Mus musculus: one gene and its partner. The protein of the gene in region 1 purifies or fractionates together with the protein of each later gene. This does not show direct contact. Links are inferred from orthologs where the notes say so. Each region holds a gene or a part of one and is shown on either strand. Other genes may lie near its edges.

What was found. Proteins that work in one complex are often made in the same cells at the same time.
Region 2: the proteins of Brwd3 (region 1) and Cul4b purify together in Homo sapiens (affinity purification with mass spectrometry; 3 studies listed by BioGRID and IntAct, with this or other methods). This does not show direct contact. The link is inferred for Mus musculus from reciprocal best matches to the Homo sapiens genes BRWD3 and CUL4B.

Annotation. Positions count from the first base shown.
Region 1 is NC_000086.7:108,831,015-108,836,390, reverse strand, and holds the start of Brwd3 (bromodomain and WD repeat-containing protein 3), read left to right. Parts: upstream 1-2,044; 5' UTR 2,045-2,261; coding exon 2,262-2,292; intron 2,293-2,424; coding exon 2,425-2,483; intron 2,484-2,684; coding exon 2,685-2,714; intron 2,715-3,117; coding exon 3,118-3,177; intron 3,178-5,376. UniProt on the Homo sapiens protein: Plays a role in the regulation of cell morphology and cytoskeletal organization. Required in the control of cell shape.
Region 2 is NC_000086.7:38,558,560-38,563,163, reverse strand, and holds part of Cul4b (cullin-4B), read left to right. Parts: intron 1-1,439; coding exon 1,440-1,555; intron 1,556-4,604.

The DNA of each region.
Region 1 (5,376 bases):
CAAATAAAATTAATTCTGTACAAGTAATTTCTTACCTTAAATTTCCATAAATGTGTGGAGTTTTCTCTCTTAATTGCATCCAAATTTACAGTTTTAGTGATCGCTGGGATAATTATGTCACATGCCTTTTGAATACAACAGAGATATATTCTCACATGAGTTCTACAAAAAATGTGTGTTAGCAAACACAGTGAATATTATTTATTATCATTTACATATAAGAAAAACAATAGCATGTAAGTGCTTTGAAGTCATATAGCAGGTGGTTTTTTTGTTTTGTTTTGTTTTAGTTTTTGTTTTTTAGAGACAGGGTTTCTCTGTGTAGCTCTGGCTGTCCTGGAACTCACTCTGTAGACCAGGCTGGCCTTGAACTCAGAAATCTGCCTGCCTCTGCCTCCCTAGTGCTGGGATTAAAGGCGTGTGCCACCACACCTGGCTAGTAGTAATTTTTAATATTAGTATGGTAGAGAAAAATATAAACTGTCTCCTAGGTCACTGTTAAGGATTAAATGAGTTACAGCAGGCAAAATATGTAGTAATGACTTGGTAAAGGTTAGCTGTTAATTATATTATCTTGAACTATAAAAATTACTATTTCAGTAAGCACCTCACAATTTTGTCCTGAGGTTTTATATTTCTTTTATCTACTTCTTTCAGATACTGATTATACCAAAGATAACCATAGCATTTTACTCTTATGTTGTTATTAATTACTCAATAAAAGAAATTGGCAGAATGAATTGCTAAGGATATGTTAAGTTTATGAATTGAATTAAATTTAATTCTATGCCCAATGTGGTTTAATCACCGAGCTCCCTGAGTCTGAAAACCAAACTCCCACTATAGCCATACATTAATGTGAACCTTCAAATTTGAGTATTTCAAAGCAAATAATGTACACAATTCAAATAGTACTTGTTTTCCCATCATGTTTTGTTTCTATGAATTCTGTTCAAAGTAACATCCTGAGAACGGGATGCTAAGAGAAATTGGGGAAGTGAACCAGTTTCCTCAAACTGTCAATTATTATACAAATCCTTTGATCAAATCAGCGCTGTGCTAAGAGTTAAAGTTATACATGAAAACAATTGTAGTCTCAAGGTAGTGGAAAAAAGACTTTTTGTCAACCGGAGTGGCGACACATGCCTGCCACATGAGCACTAGGGAAGCTGAGGCAGGAAGATTGACATGGAATTCCAGGGGAGCCTTGGATAGATACATAGTGACAGCAAGTCAGAGAATATCACTTCAAAGACAAACCAAACCAAACTATCATTTCTATCCAAATTTCAATGAATAGTTAAGAACTTTAAAAACGTTTTGGCAGAATTTCAAAACAGCGTTCCAACTTATCCTACAGGAATTGAGAAGAAAGAGCTTGTTGACCTTTTCAGAAGGGGGAAACGGCCTCCTCCTTAAAGTGTAAACTTCGCGCGCAATGTTTATCAGAATCAAGGGGAGACTTGATACTACTACAAGAAGTTTTCTAGAAGAATATTATTCCCTTGCTCATCAGGTAGGCGCAGCACTTTCTTTTGGCATGCTGTTCCTTGTTTGAAAACAAAACCTTGCAGTAGCTAGCGACTTTTTCTTGGGGTAGAGAAAGAACAAACAAACCAAATCCGTTCGGTGACCCAAGGTAAGCTAGATCATGTCAGTCCCTCGCCAGTTTCTCTTGATCATGTCTGGAGAGAGGTTCCCTCACCGGAAAGGGTCCGATTGCCCTTACAGGAAGGGTAAGCAACTCCGGAGCTCTAGGACGCCAACGCCACCACAGAGTTTGACGAAGATTGCCAGAGCGTCTGCCTGCATTTAGAACCTCTTCCTTGTTCTCTGGGCAGTAACTAGGCAACCCCAGGCCGGCTTAGCTGCTGGAACTAGGCGGCCGCCTTAGTGCCTCTGGCGGCCAGCCTGGAGCTTTGCAAGCGGCTCCCTTCCCTTTTCCCCCCTCCTTCTTTCTATGGCTCCACCCCTTTCCCCCCGCCCACCCCTCTCCCCCCGCCCACCCCTCGGCGACTTCAGCTCCTCCCTCTCCTTCTCTCTTGCTCTCCTTCCTCCTCCGCCTCCTCAGCTCTTGGGCTAGAATATCTATGGGTCGAAACGTGATGCGATGAATCCGAGAGAGACCGAAACTGGGACGAAGAGTGCGGCGGAAGCGGCGGGACTCCCAAGCATGGGGGCTTCACCACAATAGAGGCAGCGCCCCCACCCGCCCCCGCCAGCCCTCCTGAGCGAAGCCCCCAAACCCCCTCGGGAAAAGGATGGCGGCGGCACCTACCCAGATCGAAGCCGGTGGGTAGCTGAGCCGGGGGCAAAAGGGATGGGGGCTTTGCGCGACTGCTGTCAGATTTTTTTTAAAAAGCTTGTATCTCTTTTCCTTGCCTCTCTCTCAACGTCTCCCCCCACCCCCAACCCCTTCTTTAGAGCTGTATTACCTGATCGCAAGGTTCTTGCAGTCCGGACCCTGTAACAAATCCGCTCAGGTGAGAGGGAAAGGATATCTGGGAGTGTTGGGGAATGGTCCCATTGGGGAAATTGAGGCACTGGGTGAGCAGTGCAGTTGGAGGGTGAGGGAAAGGCCGGCCGCGATTACTCCTACAGTCAGCGGCTGTGTTGGAAGTGGGGAGGGAGGAATGGGTTGGCGCCCCAATCTGCTTTCACATCCCTGTGTCCCTCTTCCCCAGGTGCTAGTGCAAGAGCTCGAAGAGCATCAGGTATGGACCCCTTTTGGGAAGAGGTGGGGAGGGCTGGGGAGAACCTGGAGGAAGGGTAAGGTAGGTCAGGGGCCGAGGGCAGGGGCCCGGAGGGAGCCTTCGAGCTGGACACTTGGGGCTGTTGTCACTTGGGGTAAATCGGGTTCTTTGCTTAGAAGGGGCGGACAACGCAGGGGTCTAAACTCGCTGCCTTTTATTCCTGCGGGAGGTGTTTTTTCAGGATTTCCTTCCCTTTGGCCTGCCCCCCCCCACCCCCAACCCCCGGCACAGCGGCAGTAGCTGTCGGGACTGGAGAAATGAAAATGTTAAAGGGTCTAGGATTAGGCTCCAGGCTGGGTGCTGCTGCTGGGGAGCAGAGGCTTTTCCTTCACCCCCCCCCCTTTTCTTTTCCTCCGGCCCCCAGCTGATTCCGCGCCGCTTAGACTGGGAAGGGAAAGAGCACCGAAGAAGCTTCGAGGATCTGGTTAGTAAACTTTTCGTTTCAACTTAGCCCAACTCTTTTTCCACTCCCTCCCCACCTTGTGCCCCCAACCGCCCCTGGCCCTTCAGCCCTTAGAGCTCCCCGAGCCTGCTGTTCGGTGTTCGAAGGACTGCCCCTTCCCCCTCCCAGCGTGTCGGAAAGGGTACCTTGCCCTGCTCTAGCCTTGCTTATTTTCACCCCAAAACTTTGAAGAATGTGAGTTGGTTTTCAGAGGTGCTGTGTTGTGCTTTAGGACTGTGTTACAAACAGCGGAGAAGGCCCATTGTAGGGGGATAAGGGACAGAAACCAGGGGGTTATCTTGGGGCACGTACCAAGGACTGACGCTGGCCAATGACAGCGTTGGTAACAGCCCGGAGTTCCGGATTAGTGGAAGAAAACTGGTTTCTGGTTGGTCCTGGCTTGAAATACGGGAACTGAGGCCAGGCTTGGGTGTTTTTTTTTTTTTCTAGCTCTCTCTCTCTCTCTCTCTCTCTCTCTCTCTCTCTCTCTCTCTCTTTCTCCTTTTTCTTTCTTTCTTTTTTTTTCTTTTTAGAGTGGAGGGGAGAAGGAATTCAGAAGGGGAACTGACTCATAAGTGAGAAAAACTACATAAATAAAAATACTGAGGACTACTGAGTGAATTCCAAGATTGTTCATCTTTAGATAATGGGTTACTGAATAAAAACATTGTTATATATTTCTAATCTTAAAAAATAGCTAATTAATTCATCAGTAAACTGCATTTGTGCAAATATGTTTTCACTAAAGAAGAAATATGTATTATGACCTTTTTGGGAATAGGTGAACAGGATTTTGGGATTAGGAGACAATGGACATTTTTAAAAAAGAGAATATACTTTAGTTAAGTCTTGAATTGACTCTTGTTTTTTCCATAAATATAATTTGCAATGTAAGTGCACTTTCTGCTCTGCACTGAGACAAAAAGATGATCTTTTATATGTGGGGAAAGAGATTCTACTCTTAGCTACAGAGTTGTATGATGAAAGGAGTGATAATAAAACCTAAATTGAACTCTCTTTCCTCCAAATAAGATCCAAATGAGGAAAAGCATACAAAGTGGACACAAAGTTGGAAGAGTAGTAGACTAAGGCAGACTAAATAAAAAGAAAATAATTGAAAGTTTGCTTGTCAGTAGAAAACAGTTAAATTGCTGTGATGTTAATTTTGAAAACTTTGAGTATTATAAGAGTGAAGCCACATTATTACAGAAGCTACTGAGTTTTCCCTAATATCTTGCAAATCCAAAAATGGTTTAATTGTAATAAGAGTGAATGCCACCACCAGTATTATTAATGGTAATAATTTCTCAGATGGGTACAAATTATTTTTGAATACCTGTTACTACTTTTAATTTTCAGCCTGAAGTTTTGTTTTTCTTCTTTCTGTTGTTGTTAGACATAAATCCTACTTGTATCACAGAAGGTAAATTCGAAGTATTCACTAATACATGTTTTAGTATCAAACTACTGATAGCTGTTTGAACATAGTTTTAATATCTGGGTGTATGAGAAATGATTTTGTGTACTTTTTTCCTTTTCCAGCTTATATATGGATAGGCAGGTAGATCATTTTTAAGCAAATGAGAAAAGGAAACTTAAAAATGAACTTGATAGAAAATTGAGTAATTAAAAATGGTCTCCTTACCACACACTTTAAAAGGTGGTTTTCTAGTCATTTTTCTTAAACAGTAAAGGCAAATCTTTACACAGTTATTATCAGCATCCATCCTTTGCTTTATATTTTTCTGACAGTACTTTTGTATGACTATTGTTCTTTGAATATCCATCATGGTAATGGTAAGAAAAAGAATTAGTTGTGTTTTAAGTATTATGATTTGTCTTAATTTCCAATTGGTCATTTGAGCAATGACCTTTACCTTTTCACTAATTTTTTTTTTTACCTTTTCACTAATATTTTAACCTTTTCACTAATATTTTTACCTTTTCACTAATATTTTTGCATAATTAGGGGAGGGGCTCTTTTTCTGTTGCCTTCTCCAAAAGTCTCATGGATTTATGAATAAGGTCAAAGTAGCTCTTGAGTTTTCAAGCTTTTGTCACATATTGAACATCACTCTCCAGAAGTTTGTACTAATATTTAATGCAAAAGAAAGTGTGAGGGTTTATAGTTTTAAAATTATTTAAAATGGTTTTAATATGTGATAGTAGTCTTGAATTGAT
Region 2 (4,604 bases), about 70 Mb from region 1:
GTTTGGCGAAACATCTTTTGGGTTTCTGCAATCCTTCCCGAAGGTAAGGTCTGAAAACGAAAACTGCTGTGTATATACACCGAAGTAGTGACTATCACTAGTCTAAAGGTAGAAACCGTTAACTGCGTCTTTCGTCACTACAATGGGCTCTTAAGTACTGACCTGCAGATATTAGAAAATGTGTGTATCCTGGTGTTTGAGATTACTGCTTAGGAGTTTGATGAACATAGAAAGTCAGGGTTTAAAATGTATTTTGACTTAACTTTTTATCTGTTGAATGTGTTTCTGTTTTCCTGGTTTATTTTTTTCACCCTCCTCAGCTTGTGCAGGTAACTAGATGCTAGAACTGTATTCAAGATGGGGAAGTGAATGAATGAACTTAAGGCCTTGGTGGCTAAGTATTAGCTTGTGATTGAAATGTTGGTGTGAAAAAGAGCACTGTGCTACTTGTCTGAAGCAGGGGGTTATATATAGTATTGTTTATTTTTAACCCTTTCCATCCTCATGCTCTCAAGAGTCTTAAATTCTTTCTGATTTATTAGTAGAGCTTTCTAAAGTGAATATGAACTGTATTTATAGATTTATTCATTCATTGTTTCATTTAAAGAAAACCAAAGTAATAGGGAAGGTTTTTTTTTTTTTTTTTTAAGAAATGAGCTGTGATTCTAATTTCATTTGCAAATTGATTTCTCCTGAAGGCATTAGGGCGTTTGAAATCTTTAATTTGTTTAACTTATCACAGATGAATGAAGTTTAAAGTCTACATTAAATTTCTTTCTATTCTGAAAATGCTGCATAGGTTCTGGAGTCATTTAGGTGTTACTTCGGTTTTGTTTTGTTTGACATTTGATTTTGTTCCTTTAAAATGAAGAAATGTTGTGATTCTGTGACTGCTGCATACATTAGGGAGTCAATCAGACCTGAATCGGAATCCCAGCTTTGCCATTGACTAGTTATGGTGACCTTGGGCGAGCTTAGCAAATGAGTTCCAGGCTCACTTTCTTCAGCTGTAAAGTTGGGGTTGCTAAGATTCCCTGCGAATGTGTTATTGTTGAGACAATTTCTATAAAGTTTCTGAAATACTTTTCATATAGTGTGTACTCAGTATTTTAAATCTTCCCTACAAGATTCATGTCAGCTTCTGTTTTACACGTGATAAAACAAGATCAGAACTGCTATTTTTATCTGTCATTCTCAAATTTTTATATTTGAAGCAGTAACAATCAATAGGAGAAAAAAATACCTTCAATTTTCATAGGTGAATCAAAATAACAGTATTTTGGCATCTTAAATTTTGTTTATATTGAACTTTTAAATATCACAGTTACCTTAATGTTGAGGTATTAAAAGGATCCTAAAATAGCAGTACTGTTCTATTTTATAGTTCTTTGGTTACTATATCCTTAATATTTTTCTAATTTTGTTTGCATATTATTTAGATAAGCCTAAATTACCAGAAAACTATACGGATGAGACATGGCAAAAGCTAAAAGAAGCAGTGGAAGCCATTCAGAATAGTACTTCAATTAAGTACAATTTAGAAGAACTCTACCAGGTATGTATTAGTATGTAAAACCACACTTTACCAACATAAGCTAAGATGGAATGCATTTGTATTTTCCTTTTTTTAAAGATTTATTTTGTATGTGCATGTGCTAGAGTGTGTGTGTGTGTGTGTGTGTTTGTGTGTGTGTGTGCATGCGCACACAAAACATGTGTGCCCTTGGAGACCAGGGCTTAGGTTCCTTCTAAGCTGGAGCTATAGGCAGTTGTGAGCTGTCTGACATGGGTGCTGGGAATCAGATTTGGAAAGAGTTCTCTTAACTGTCCCCTGTATTTTAACGTCCTGAAGTACATTCTTTAGTAGAGTTTTGATCACTTACTAGTTAAATGGTGCCTTCTTTTTTTATGATCATAACACACAGTATTACTTCAGCTGGGGATCCATAATTGGACAGTTCTGATAAGGCTTTATTAATATTTTGGTATAGTAGAGGTATGACCCAGACTGGGCTGTTATAGCATAGATTAGCTATTCTTTTTCTGTGGGTTGTCATTTCTGTTGCGGTAGCTCTTGTTTAGTTCTCTTACCTACATATAGGAAAGGCCTCAAGACCTGCAGCTCTTTACATTCCTGCATCCTTTCTTCTGCCTTAGTTTTTTAAAAAATTATGTTTACTTGTCCTGTGTGTATATGTGTGGGCAAGCCATGTGTGGAGGTCAGAGGACAATTTATGGGAATCAGTTCTTTCTTTCCACCTTATGGGTTCCAGGGATTGAACACAAGTTATTAGGCTTGATGGTAAGTGCCTTTACCTGCTGACCATCTCCCTCTTGTAAATAATTTTTAAAAATTGCATGTGTGGTTATGAAAGAGAGGGGAGAGAAGAAAGACTCTGTGTGTGTGTGTGTGTGTGTGTGTGTGTGTATTATAGCACACATGTGGAAGTCAGAGGACAGCTTGCAGAAATTGGCCTCTTTTTTCACCATGTATGTTGTGCGCAGGATCAGACTCAGGTTGTCATGTTTGGTGCTAAGCACCTTTTACTAATCCGTTAGTCTTCTCGTTGGCCCTGCCTCATTCTTTTTTTTTTTTCTCTCAAGACTTGGTTTCTCTGTGTAGTCATGGCTCTCCTGCAACTTACTCTGTAGACTAGGCTGTGTGTGCCACCAAAGTGCTGGGATTAAAGATGTGCACCACCACCACCCTGTACCTGACTTTTTTTTTTTAATTTAAAAGCATCTGTACAAAGGAAGCTTTTTTTTTTAAAGATTTATTTATTTAGTTTATGTATGTGAGTACACTGTTGCTGTCTTCAGACACACCAGAAGAGGGCATCAGATCTCACTACAGATGGTTGTGAGCCACCATGTGGTTGCTGGGAATTGAACTCACGATCTCTGGAAGAGCAGTGAGTGCTCTGAACCATGGAGACATCTCTCCAGCCTGACTCTTTGAGACAGGGTTTTTCTGTGTAGCTCTGGCTGTCCTGGAACTCAACTTTGTAGACCAGGCTGGCCTTGAACTCAGAAATCTGCCTGCCTCTGCCTCCTAAGTGCTGGGAATAAAGGTGTGCGCCACCATGCCCAGCTCTGACTCATTTTTTTTGAACGCACTAAAGCTTTATTACAAAAGGAGTTAACTGCTAGAGATGGCCCTCCAGTCTTTCTCTGTGTCCTCTTCCTTCCCAAGATACACTTCCAGGGGAGGTCAAGGGTCCATTGTAGAAGGGGTGTCTAGGAAAGTGAAATATGGTAGTATTTTTTCCAAAGTTCCTCCAGATCCTTCTAGGTGCTGTTGACCATCTTCTGGTAGAAGAGGTAGGGACTTCAGCTCTTATTTTCAAGATCCTCCATAGCTATGGCTGACTAGTCCTGGTTGACTTGGAGGGGGCTTTCACTTACATGGCTGCTTTTTCTCTGACTCATTTTTAATAGTAGTTTTGCACTTTTTGTCTTGAGCTTCTTCTGTCTCCTGGTCTACAGGATGCACCTTATTCCAGAAATGAGCAATAGCTTGTAGCCCAACACCTTAGTCTGAAATTCATGTTTGTTTTTCCTGAATTAAAAGTGTTTTGTTGCCTGGCAGTGGCGGCACATGCCTTTATTCCCAGCACTTGGGAGGCAGAGGCAGGTGGATTTCTGAGTTCGAGGCCAGCCTGGTCTACAGAGCGAGTTCCAGGACAGCCAGGGCTACACAGAGAAACCCTGTCTCGAAAAACCAAAAATGTGGAATAGGAGTTAGAGGACACATTTGGGGGACACATTTGGGATTTAATTTTGACTATTGCTGCTATTCTTTTTTTTTAAGATTTATTTATTGTAATGTAAGAATGTAAGTACTCTGTAGTTGTCTTCAGACACACCAGAAGAGGACATCAGATCTCATTACGGATGGTTGTGAGCAACCATGTGGTTGCTGGGATTTGAACTGAGGACCTTTGGAAGAGTAGTCAGTGTTCATAACCATGGAGCCATCTCTCCAGCCCCATATTGCTGCTATTCTAATCTTTGGCAAACAATAAACACTGTCAGCTTTCGTTTCCTCCTCTATAAAACAGGCAAACTAGTGCCTGCCTTTCTTCCTTGCTAGGTGGCTAATAAAGAATGCAATAAGATGTTTGTAAAACAAAACAAACACCTTAATGAAGCACTACGATACATAAATTAAGCTGATGTTAGCATTAGTCACACTTTTTACAAACTATAGTGTAGCTCTTTTTATCTGTAATACATAAGATAGAGATCCCTGGTTTCTTTCTTTTTGCTGTGGAAATGAAGTGAGTCAGTGTAGGCAGCACACAGCTGTGTTCAGGTGCTGCTGCAGTAGACATGTCAGCTGGGAGTGATCCGAAGCTGTTACTTGGGGCTCAGTCTACCTCATTTGGTTCTTTGGTCCCAGTATAGGTTTGCTTCCTGAATAGTAAAACAACAAAAGTGCAAAGAAGAAATTTGAGTAAGAAAGGTCTTAAAAGATTCCATGACGTCTACATACTGTGTCTGATAGATAACCTACGGAGCAAATCCATTTTCTAGTACATTTAACCACTGGTGAAACTCTTAGGAAGTATTTGGTCTGATCTCCACTCCTAAGCAGGAAAGTG